Mus musculus: one gene and its partners. The protein of the gene in region 1 interacts with the protein of each later gene in a pairwise test. Links are inferred from orthologs where the notes say so. Each region holds a gene or a part of one and is shown on either strand. Other genes may lie near its edges.

What was found.
Region 2: the proteins of Exoc1 (region 1) and Cep295 interact in a two-hybrid assay, tested with the Homo sapiens proteins (2 studies listed by BioGRID and IntAct). The link is inferred for Mus musculus from reciprocal best matches to the Homo sapiens genes EXOC1 and CEP295.
Region 3: the proteins of Exoc1 (region 1) and Sybu interact in a two-hybrid assay, tested with the Homo sapiens proteins (2 studies listed by BioGRID and IntAct). The link is inferred for Mus musculus from reciprocal best matches to the Homo sapiens genes EXOC1 and SYBU.

The regions. Positions count from the first base shown.
Region 1 is NC_000071.6:76,542,700-76,546,353, reverse strand, and holds part of Exoc1 (exocyst complex component 1), read right to left. Parts: intron 2,900-3,654; coding exon 2,672-2,899; intron 2,477-2,671; coding exon 2,344-2,476; intron 1,101-2,343; coding exon 991-1,100; intron 277-990; coding exon of another isoform or gene 223-276; intron 1-222.
Region 2 is NC_000075.6:15,330,285-15,333,938, reverse strand, and holds part of Cep295 (centrosomal protein of 295 kDa), read left to right. Parts: coding exon 1-2,003; intron 2,004-3,028; coding exon 3,029-3,185; intron 3,186-3,290; coding exon 3,291-3,434; coding exon of another isoform or gene 3,435-3,443; intron 3,444-3,654. UniProt on the Homo sapiens protein: Centriole-enriched microtubule-binding protein involved in centriole biogenesis.
Region 3 is NC_000081.6:44,717,669-44,721,322, reverse strand, and holds part of Sybu (syntabulin), read left to right. Parts: intron 1-2,337; coding exon 2,338-2,535; intron 2,536-3,654. UniProt on the Homo sapiens protein: Part of a kinesin motor-adapter complex that is critical for the anterograde axonal transport of active zone components and contributes to activity-dependent presynaptic assembly during neuronal development.

The DNA of each region.
Region 1 (3,654 bases):
AAAAATCAAGGAGGTGAGAAACAAGGAGAAAGGCAAGCAGAATGAGGTTAAATGCCTTTTGGGACAAATGGGATATTTAAAAACTATTACAAATATAGTTAATGGGTAGCTTAAATCAGTAAGTTAAGCTGTAAGCATAAATATTCTGCTGCTAACTTTAGCAAACTTTATAGACAGATGAAAAAAAAATCACAGAGGCTTGAGCCAATTTGATGTACTCACAGGAACCGAAAGAAAGTAGGACCTGTTATAGAGCTGTAGGAGGGCCTGAGTAAACTAGTTGGAAATAAAATATAAGAAAGACAACTGTTTCAGAACACTTTAAAGAAAATCCAATGTTTTCAGAGAGAATTTATCGATTATTAAGATTTTTCCTGTTCAATATGTGTAATAAAATAAAATGCAAAAAACCCCCACAAGAATCTAATTATATTAACTATTAAAATATCTTTTGTTCAAATTGTAAGGTCCCTTGGCATTACTAAAATATCCCTACCTTATCATTAATTATAACATCTCTTTCCAAAGAAAGAGAGGCAAGTTTATAACATGGAGACCCAATCAACTAAAAGTCACAGCTGAACTCGCGGTTTCTTTGCATGAACACACTGTATTAACTATACAGAGCCTGTGAAACTTTGAAGATAACGAGTCAGGCCTGATTCTCACCTTGGAACACTGAAAAACACAAAGGCTCAAAAGTTAACACACGCCTGCCAGTTGCTTATGTAACTAATGAATCTAGCTGTGATTCCTAGCATCCGTTTCAGCTAGAAGGGACTTGACGTCTGTGTAAAGGGTTACCTGCAGTCCAAGGTACGTCTGTGAGGAACTATGCACAGATTTCAAAATCTTCAAACCATAGAAACGTGGGAAGGAATACACTATAGCCCCAAATGAACACAGTAAATATTTGGGGGAATTTAAGTTTAGGGCAACATATAAATGACCTGCAGAAACATGTCAGTTTTAATAGTAGATTAAAATTACCTGTTGAACAAAAACATTGTTGAGATGGCTGGCCAGTCTCCGGGCGAAATGTTCCCTCAGGTCACTGAAGCGCTGCTGCTGCTGCTTGACGGCCAGGAGCATGTCATGGCCTACGGCACAACCACAGTCCCTCACTCTCTCGCTCGCTCGGGAAGGGTAAAGAAGAACGAGAAACACCTCTCCACAACGTGCGTGTGGCGGTCAGAGGACAAGTCTGTGGAGGCCTTCCTCAGCCTTCACCTTTACGTGGGTCCCAGAACTCCAGCTCAGATGGCCAAGCTGTCCAGCAAGCCCCTCTTGAGGACCACCTTGCTGGCCTCCCCTCCGTGATTACTATGCTCACCAACCCCAGGTCCTGGCACACCCAGAGCCTTGTGCATGGTAGACATACAGTCTCCCACTGAGCTGTAGCTCAAATCTGTACTGTGTTAATGATACCCAGACAACTTTTGAAGAATCGAAAGCTATAATGGCTTATTCATGTGCTTTGTAAAACTTTAAAAGGAGAAAAAGTAATACAACACCCTGGTTCGTCTTCAGTATCACCTGGCAACCACTAGAAATAGGAATTTTAGGACCTCAGCCTAGACCTACCGAGTGTGAGGATTTCCTGGTATTTCTAGGTTCCGCTGCCTAGGAACCCCTATCTGCTCCGGCCTGTCCTAACGTCTACCTGTGCTTGTCTGCTACGTCTAAAGCAGCAGCAACGCGCGATTGTAGCAGGGCAGCGAGATGGCTCCGGGGTGAAGGTGCTCGCACACACACCTGGGAATCTGAGCTCAACCCCAAGAACCCTAAAGGTGCAGAAGAACGGAATCTACAAACATGTCCTCTGACCTCAGCACGGACGCTGTTGCACACAGTGTCCACATGCACACATATGTGCACACACATACAATAAGAAACATGTCCTCTGACCTCAGCACGGATGCTGTTGTACACAGTGTCCACATGCACACATATGTGCACACACATACAATAAGAAAGCTATATGTTTACACAAGATCATGGTTAGAGTGCTGCATGGTAGTGCGTGCCTGTACACTCGGCACTAGAGAAGCAGGGGGGACTGTATGTGTGATGCCAGCCTAGGCTATGCTGTGAGAAGCTAACCCCCAACTAAACAAATAAAAACTAGATAGAGCATAAAAATACATTTGTGAAGGTAAAGATGGTCCATCAGAAGGGACTGAAATGAAAACGTTTAGTGTTAATAGGAATTTGTAGGGGAATCTGTGAAACTCATTTGTATAGCTAATAGTCACTTAGCCCAAGTTACTTCTTGTCAAAATATTTCTACCAAGTCCCAGTGTTAGTCTCGGTTCTTGGTCAGATTGTATCACGGCTACACACCTGGGCGAAGAGCAACGTTCATGCACTGCAGCAGGGCGTCAGCAGCGTTGGTGCAGGCCTCGATGCCTCGGGAAGAAACAAGATCTCCTTCCTGAAGGGCCTTTATATGACCTTTGGCCAAGTCCATGTGGTTCTGGAACACATCCAAACACACCACTTGCACGTGCAATTGTGGGGAAAATACAGGCAGGGCACTACTCACCTATCACTCAGTCTCTGTACCACTTTACATCCTGATCTCACAAGGAAGCTGGTTTGTAAGTGAGTTTTACATAACATCACTAGGCTTCCTGCTTTTGCCCTGCTGGTAGCCTATGGAAATGCTCACCACGAGGAACTCTATCTCGGACAGGAGCTTCACATTATTCGTGTTGCTGAGATGGATCAGGTGGTTGCTCTCAGAGATCTGATCCATCTGCTCTTTCACACTTTGGAGCATCTCCTCGTAACTGCTCAGTTTCAGTTCAATCTGGTCCACCTCCGTTAGCGCCTCATCCAGCAACTGCATCAGGGTGTTCACTTGTTTCTCAGAGGCCATGATTGACTGAATGTTGGCCTACAAAGTGAAAGGAAATGTAAAGGTTCCTGCTGTTTAGACGTGTACAGGAAGTGCAGAGGTGAGACGCTGCCAGAGCTCTCTGCGTCAAGTCAGCCAGTGTCTGGTTCACTTTCTCCACAGGATTTTGAAAGGCTTGCTTGCCTCTATACTGAGGTTTGAGACCACACTTCAGAAACTGTGCAGCGATATCATAGGCTCTGTTCTAACACCTCTGGAAGCGCTAGCTCCTTCCCCTCCCTCTCCACACTTGTCCTGCTCCCCTCTGGTAACTGACTCTAGCTCCTCTCCCCTCCCCACACTACCCTGCTCCCCTTTGGTAACTGACTCTAGCTCCTCTCCCCTCCCCACACTTGTCCTGCTCCCCTTTGTAACTGACTCTAGCTCCTCCCCTCTCCACACACTTGTCCTGCTCCCCTTTGGTAACTGACTCTAGCTCCTCTCCCTCCACACACTACCCTGCTCCCCTTCGGTAACTGACTCTAGCTCCTCTCCCCTCCCCACACTACCCTGCTCCCCACATTTATGTCAGCTACCTTTCTCTTGTGTTAGTAAATGCTTACTCTTTGGCAACGACCTATTCAGAGCCTAGGGGATTAAACCCTAGTGGTATCTGGTCATCTACTTTTTTATTCCACCATTGCATAATAAGAACACTCCAATATCTAAAGCCTTAGCCTTAGCCAAATGTCTTCACTGGAAATGGTTTTTAGTGAGTGAGTGTGTGTCTGTGTGTGTGTGTGTGTGTGTGTGTG
Region 2 (3,654 bases), on another chromosome or scaffold:
TGACTAGACAGAGGAGTATGATTCCGCCTAGACGTGATGGTCAAGAGACATTACTTTTATATAAAGAAAGCTGTTCAGAAGACAGTGAGGCTGGGCCAGTAGAATCACTCTCCTCCGTGGTTGTTCAGCATGCAGATGCTTCTCGTGCAGTTTCAGAAGTACCTAAGCGGCTCCAGGACGTGTATTCATCTGAGGAAGAAAATAGAGTTCTCTCCAGTCATTTGATCACCCATGGCTTTCCACAGCACAGCCTGCAAAGACAAGAACATTTTACACCACTCCAGGAAGAGACACACATTCAGAGGCTTATACTTGGTGCTAGAAAAAATAATGAGGAATTTGCTCCCAAGCAAAATGAATTAGAAAAGGGGCTCTGCTCTCAACAGACTGATGCCTTGTCTTCTCCATCCCAAGTCACCGACTGGGGAACATCCCGGGGGTCTGTATCAGTCAGAAGTGATAGGACAGACCCCTTAAGGCATTTTAAGATTCCAGCGTTTCGGGAAAGACTAGTTAGAGTTTCACAACATACATTCCCTCTCCAAGATAATTTGCAGGAACACCAAGAATGGGTAGACACAGAAAAAGAGAGCTTTCAATCTAGTCCTCTAACTCCAGAAAATCCATCTTCTCAACAGACAGGTTTTTCGTCCTTCAAAGCCTCATTAAGACTGCCATCGTGTGTGTCCTTGCCATCTGCTGACTCTGGTATCACACAGCACCCTCTCTCAACAGAGAGTGACAGTAAAGTCAAGTCAAGCCATCTTCAGATACCAGAACTGCAGCATAGACTTTCGAAGATATCCCAGCTCATCCCGCCTCAACAAGACAGTTTGAAGGCCCTTCAAGAACAATTAGCTACACAAAGGGAAGCCATCATCCACTCTAGACAAGAAGCTCATGAAGAAACACTAAGAGAATGGAAGGAAAAAATATTCCCAGAGCAGGTTGGTCCATTTTCTCCCCTGATACCACAACATTCACTTGCTTCATTCCCTGTTTCTGATACTGAAAGAGCACAAGAACTGTGTTCAACCAACAGTGACACCATATCTTCAGGTTATCCTGAGATGCTGGAGTTGCCTGACAGGACATTGGGTTTATCACATACTGCTTTACCTCAGCAGAATAATCTGACTGCACATCCAGAACACCTTCATGCACAAACAAATTTTTTTCACTCTACTGAGAAAGCCCAAGAAGGGTTGGTGTTTCCCAGACCATGTCAATTTGAAGAGATGTCTGCTGAGCATTTTATCCAGCCTCAACATGATGACTTAAAGGCACTTCAACAGCAGTTAGATATGCAAAGGGAAGCCATTAGATCTGGCCAGGAAATGCAAGAGAAAATGCTTTTGCAAAGGTTAAATAAATTGGAGCAAAGGATATCTTCCAAACAAATTAGCTCCTCTCTATTTTCATCCCAGGTAGCACTGCCCATTGCCAATTCTGACGGGACCTTACAGTCTTTCCCAACTAAAAGTAACGAGACTGAGCTGCTTGGGTCCCAAGATGAGTATCTGAGCTTTTCACAGCCTCGTCTGCCTCTGCAGAATAACATGACAGAGCAGTTGGACTTAGAAAAGGTATTTCATAAAGAACTGCTTTTACACAAACAAAAGAGCCAAAACAAAAGTGAATCTTCTGAGCATTCCCTCCCTCCTTTGTTTCTGTCCAAGGAAATAGAGCATCCATTCATTTCACTACCTTTTGCAGAAAGTAAATCTAAAAGCATTTGTGAGTTGTATTTATCTGACAAGAAGCATGCAGCTCCTAATGATGCTGTGATCCCAAGATTGCAGGACAGGCTTTTAAGCTGTTCCCAACCTGTCTTAACTCAGCAAGATAACATGAGTCTTCAGAAGCAGCTGAATCTACAAAGAGAAACTCTACACTCTAGGCAAAAAGCCCAAGAAGAATTGCTTGTGCAGAGACAGACATCCTTACAGCAGCAAATCCAAAGACACAGAGAGACTTTGAAAAATTTCTTTAATGTCAGTCAGGTATGTTCTGAATTTAAAACTTTAGCATAATAGATATTTAAACCTGATTTCATTTTAATCCTAAACCTACTTTCTCCTTAGTTATTGAGAGTAACTTAGTAATTGAGAAATTGAAACAAATATATCTACTTTATAGAGTCATTTTTAAAATACAGTAAACATTAAAGAATATGCATCTTTAGGAATTTTGTTGCAGTGGGTTCTCAGATAAAATTATAAAAAGGGCTGGTTAATAGATTTCTTATAGTGTGATAGATCCTGTTCTCTAACGACTGTTAACATTTGTATATGAATCAAAATCTGTGTCCTGTTTTTCCCTAAGTGACATAATGGTATAGTTGGTATGGTTATAATCTGATAGAAGCCAGACCTACACTTCTTACATTTGAGTTGCTGAGAAAACTGGCATCGTCACTCGGACACATATTTAGTTAGAATGGGTCTATTCTTCTTTAGGCCACTTCTTAACTTCCTTAGTGCAAACAATTCTGCAGCGCCTAGATGTTCAGGAGGTACTTGAACCTAGAAGTTAAAACCCTAGAGTGATGAAGGGAAAGTAATGGGGAAAAAAGGCAAAGGGAAGCACTCAGGTCTAACGTGTTAACAGGCGCAAAGGAATCTAGTGCTTGGTGTGGGGCTGTAACGTACAAACTTTGCACTGGGAGTTTTACTCGTTCAGTGATAAAAGTACGTCCCAGTTTTCATCTGTCAACATAAAGCAGATTGTTTATTCTGAGCTATACCTGGGGATATGGGTTCAGGTTTCCCTAAATAGCTTGTTCAACAGTGGAAACAGTTACAGGGACTTTGTAGTTACAGAGCAACAGAAAGTGATAAATATATGGTGCTTTCCAAGTACTTGGTAGAGCCCATAAAGTAGGCTATTACAGAGACACGGGGCAAAACTGCTATAGTGATGGAATTAGTCATTCAGCTGAGGTTCCGACTTAAGGGAGATTTCAATCTCATGGCTTATTCATGGGATCTCTTAACCCACATTCCCGTTTCCCTACCTATATTTTCAGGCAAGGAATCCCACAGATGAGAATGACTTGGAAATGCAGAAGAGAGAACAGCTCGGAGGGTGGTTTCCTCACACCCAAGGCCTTACCTGGGGAGACGCAGGTCAGGGGAGCGCTAATGGTGAGCAGCCACGTGCAGATGTCCATGCTGAGCACAATGGTAAGATGATCCCTGTTATCTTCTGATTATACCCTGTCCCTGCAGCTAGCTGACAGGAGAAAAGTCACAAAGTTTGATTTGCTTAACCTTTTCTTGACTTGATAGGTGAGAGTCTGGCCAAAGAACTGAGTGGTAGAGCCTCAAAGCCACCTGTCTCCAAAGTTAAATGTGTCTTGGACTTAAACCAGCATGAGCTTAGTACTATACAGGAAGTAGAGTCACCAGCAAGTGGCAGGATTTCCATGCCAGGTAAACAAGGTGATAAAAATAGATCTTACCAGTTTGTTAGCTTTTTACTTTTTCTCGGTATGCTAAAATGTGTCCAAGAGGCAGTCTTTGAGCACTTGTAGAAAGAGAAACCGGTTTACATAAAAATGACTAAAAATTGGGGGCGGAGAGACGGCTTACCAAGTAAAAAGCATTTTCCTGTTCGCAGGTCTGACCGCTGGAGTTAAGTCTCTGGATCCCG
Region 3 (3,654 bases), on another chromosome or scaffold:
TTGAGTGCTCTGACCACATTCATTTTGAATTCATCTCCTTTAGAATGGGAAAAGTTTCTCTTAGGCAGTATACAGATATATGTATTAATTGCTGGAATCTGACCCAGTAAGCAAATTTGCACCCTGAGAGAGGAGCTCTGATTTTTATTTTCACTGAAACAAGGGCATGCAAATGGAGGGGAAGGCACAGATAGCATGTGATGGGATAGCTGGACAGTCTCAGCCCATAGAGGGGCCCACCTCTGGGTCACAGGGCCAAAAGTTACTGGCAACTAAGGAAGGATATAGCACATTTGCAGACACAGTGTGCTAACTACCATTCACTTCTAGAAACAAATGTTCCCATGCGAAGTAATATGTCCAAAATTTAAAAAAAAAAAAAAGCAATAAATAATACATTGTCTTGACGTGCCAAGTTCATTTTGTTCCAGGAACTGGGATATTTCATCATTATAATCAAGTAGAAGCCAGAAATGGGGCAATGGTGATCCCTTTTTAGAGAAAGCCTAGGCATGACTCGTGAAGTCCTTAGATTTCATTCAACCCCATTTCCATGCCATCCTTACTCCAGCTGTGGAGACCCAGGATAGCCAGTGGTGGATGGCACATCACTCGTGGTACTCTAACACTCATAAAAACTCAATAGTTCTAAGATTATTAGTGGTATGTATCATCTTACAAACTTTCATTACGTTGGTAAAGTAATGAAATTTCTGAAATTGAAATCAAAATAATTTTCTTTTGTAACAAGGAGTTAAGTAATAAAAATTTAAAATTTTGCTGAGTATGTGTATGTTAAAATAACATTAATTTGGTCCTAAATTCTCATGTAATTCTCACTAGAGTTTAAATTAATGAATCTGCCATCCTAAATACTTTAATAAATAAGGAAAGCATTTGTAAGAGACAACAATGTGAGTTTTCTGGGTTTTTTTGTTTGTTTGTTTTTTTGGTGTTTTTCGAGACAGGGTTTCTCTGTATAGCCCTGGCTGTCCTGAACTCACTTTGTAGACCAGGCTGGCCTCGAACTCAGAAATCCACCTGCCTCTGCCTCCCGAGTGCTGGGATTAAAGGCATGCACCACCACCCCACATGAGTTTTCTGTTTCTTAATAGGTACCTGTACTGGTCACCCTATAATGTACCCATTAGCTTAATACAATGAATGACCTTAGTTATATTTAGCTATAATGAAACAGTATTTATTTTCCCCATTTACTACAAGTAGGAGTAGATCTGTTTGGACTATTTTTGGTTGGATATATGTGCTTATAATATAATGACTTTCTGCTTCTTTGAACTTTTAAACTCAGAGGCTCACAGGAAATTCTGCTAACCAGCTGATGAGCCATGTGATCAAAAAGCTTAAGCAATGTCAGTAATATTCAAGTCATTTTATTTTCCTAACAAAAACAGTTCTGAGAAGTACATGCTAATTACCTTGAGTTTTTCTTCTGAATTTTAAATTACTTACCCAATGCAAGCACCTGTGGTCAGCAAGGCCCGATGGCACACACTTCCCAGTGCTTGGGGGGAAGGGAAAGATGGATTTCTGTGAGTTCCAGGCCAGCCAGGGAAACTTAGTGAGACTTTGTCTCAACAACAAAAACAAAAACCAAAAACAAACAAGCAAAGCCCAAAACTAAAATCTGTGGACAAATATGAACCAAAATTATACTATATGAAATATTCAAGTAGACATATGCTTTAAGTAAGAAATGTATGTTTCAGACGTCTTTATGATGAAAAGGCTTATATGGTATGACTGGCTGGTTTTGTGTCAACTTGATACAAGCTAGTGTCATCAGAGAGGAAAAAGCCTCTGAGGAGAAAATGCTTCCATGAGATCCAGCTGTGAAGCATTTTCTCAGCGATGACCTGGGGAGAGTGCAGCCCATTGTGGGTGGCTGATAGTCCTGGGTTCTATAGGAAAGCAGGCTGAGCGAGCCTGTAAGTAGCACCCTGCCATGGCTCCTGCATCAGCTCCTACCACCAGGATCCTGTTTGAGCTCTTGTCCTGATTTCCTTTCATAATGAAAAGCAGTATGGAAGTGTAAGCCAACTAAACCCTTTTGTCCCCAACTTGCTCTTTGGCCATGGTGTTTTGTCACAGTAATAGAAACTCTAACTAAGATAGTATATCTTTAAGTATTGCCTTAAAACAGTATTTTCGTTGCCAATGTGAGTGGCCAAAGTATGGAAAAAAGCAAAAGAAGGATCCTAATAGCCATGCCCAGTTTACTTGGGTCCTACAAGTCACTCATTCATGCGCATGTGCAGACTTCATAGCTGGCTTCCCTGTGCCATGACTCAAAACTCATGGATTTCTGTCTCCTAGATGACACAGGTTGTCCCAGCAGCCAGTCGGTATCGCCTGTGAAGACTCCTTCAGACACAGGGCACAGTCCCATTGGCTTTTGCCCTGGAAGCGATGAAGACTTTACCAGGAAGAAATGCAGGATTGGAATGGTTGGTGAGGGAAGTATTCAGTCAGCTCGTCATAAAAAAGAACCCAAGGGAGGCATCATAAAGCCAGGTAAGTACCCTTACCATTCATATTTAAAAATCTATTTCTTTTATTTTTTTAGATTAATATAATTATATGAGATTATATATGTGTATTTATATAATTAAATTGTATATATTTTATGTATAATTAAGTTAGATTATTATATAATTAAATATGAGATTATAATATAATTAAATTCCCACTTCCCTTTCCTTGTCCTAAACCCTCTCATATATCTCTTTGCTCCTTTTCAAACTCATGGCCTCTTTTTATTCCATTAATTGTTTTTACATACATATATGTATCTATATACATATATCTAAATACATCTGCCTGGTCTGTATTATATTATATGTGTGTATGTTTTCAGGGATGACCATTTGGCATTAGATAATGAATTGGTGTGTTCTTCCTTTAAGGAGATATAGTGCAGTAAGAGATTTCCATCCAAAACCTGTCTATCAAGTCAGAAATGACTCATGTACACAGGACCCAGAAACCTTTTTAAAGGATGTAGCATGTAGAATATTTAATGCAATAGTTGCTAGTAATTAAGTATAGCGTGTAACCATCATAGACATGTTTTTGTGTGCGTGTGTTTGTGCCTTAGGATCTGGTTTATTAAGATGTACGAATACTGATTTAATGACTCTTGGCCAAAAGTATCACTGGAGACAAACCTTCTGATTTCATTGCTCATAGGCACTAATACCATCTAAGAAAATCTTTTGTTGATCTTTTTACTTATATTTTCTCAGTCAACTACTGTTTCAAACATTGTCATTGTGAGAATCCCTGCTGCTTTTGAATGGAGCCCAATTCTGTACAGTAACTTCCTTGTATGAGAAAAGTTGCCTACACTGTCTCTGAACTTTGGGCTGAGTAAATCTGTCCCTCTCATAAATATAAAGAGAGGAAATCCAGGAAGCAAGACCCTCAGATGACTCTTACAATTAATAAAATGCAGAGACATAGGCTGTTAAAATTCAGGAAGGTCCTGCTCTTAGGTTAAAATAAAGTCATCTGTTACCCACAGCCCTACCATACCCTTAGCCAAATCTGACCTTCAGTTCTAGATGTATGTTCTAATTTTTTTTTAAAAAGGCAACTCATTAAAACCATACTAGTTTATTAAAATAGCAAGCA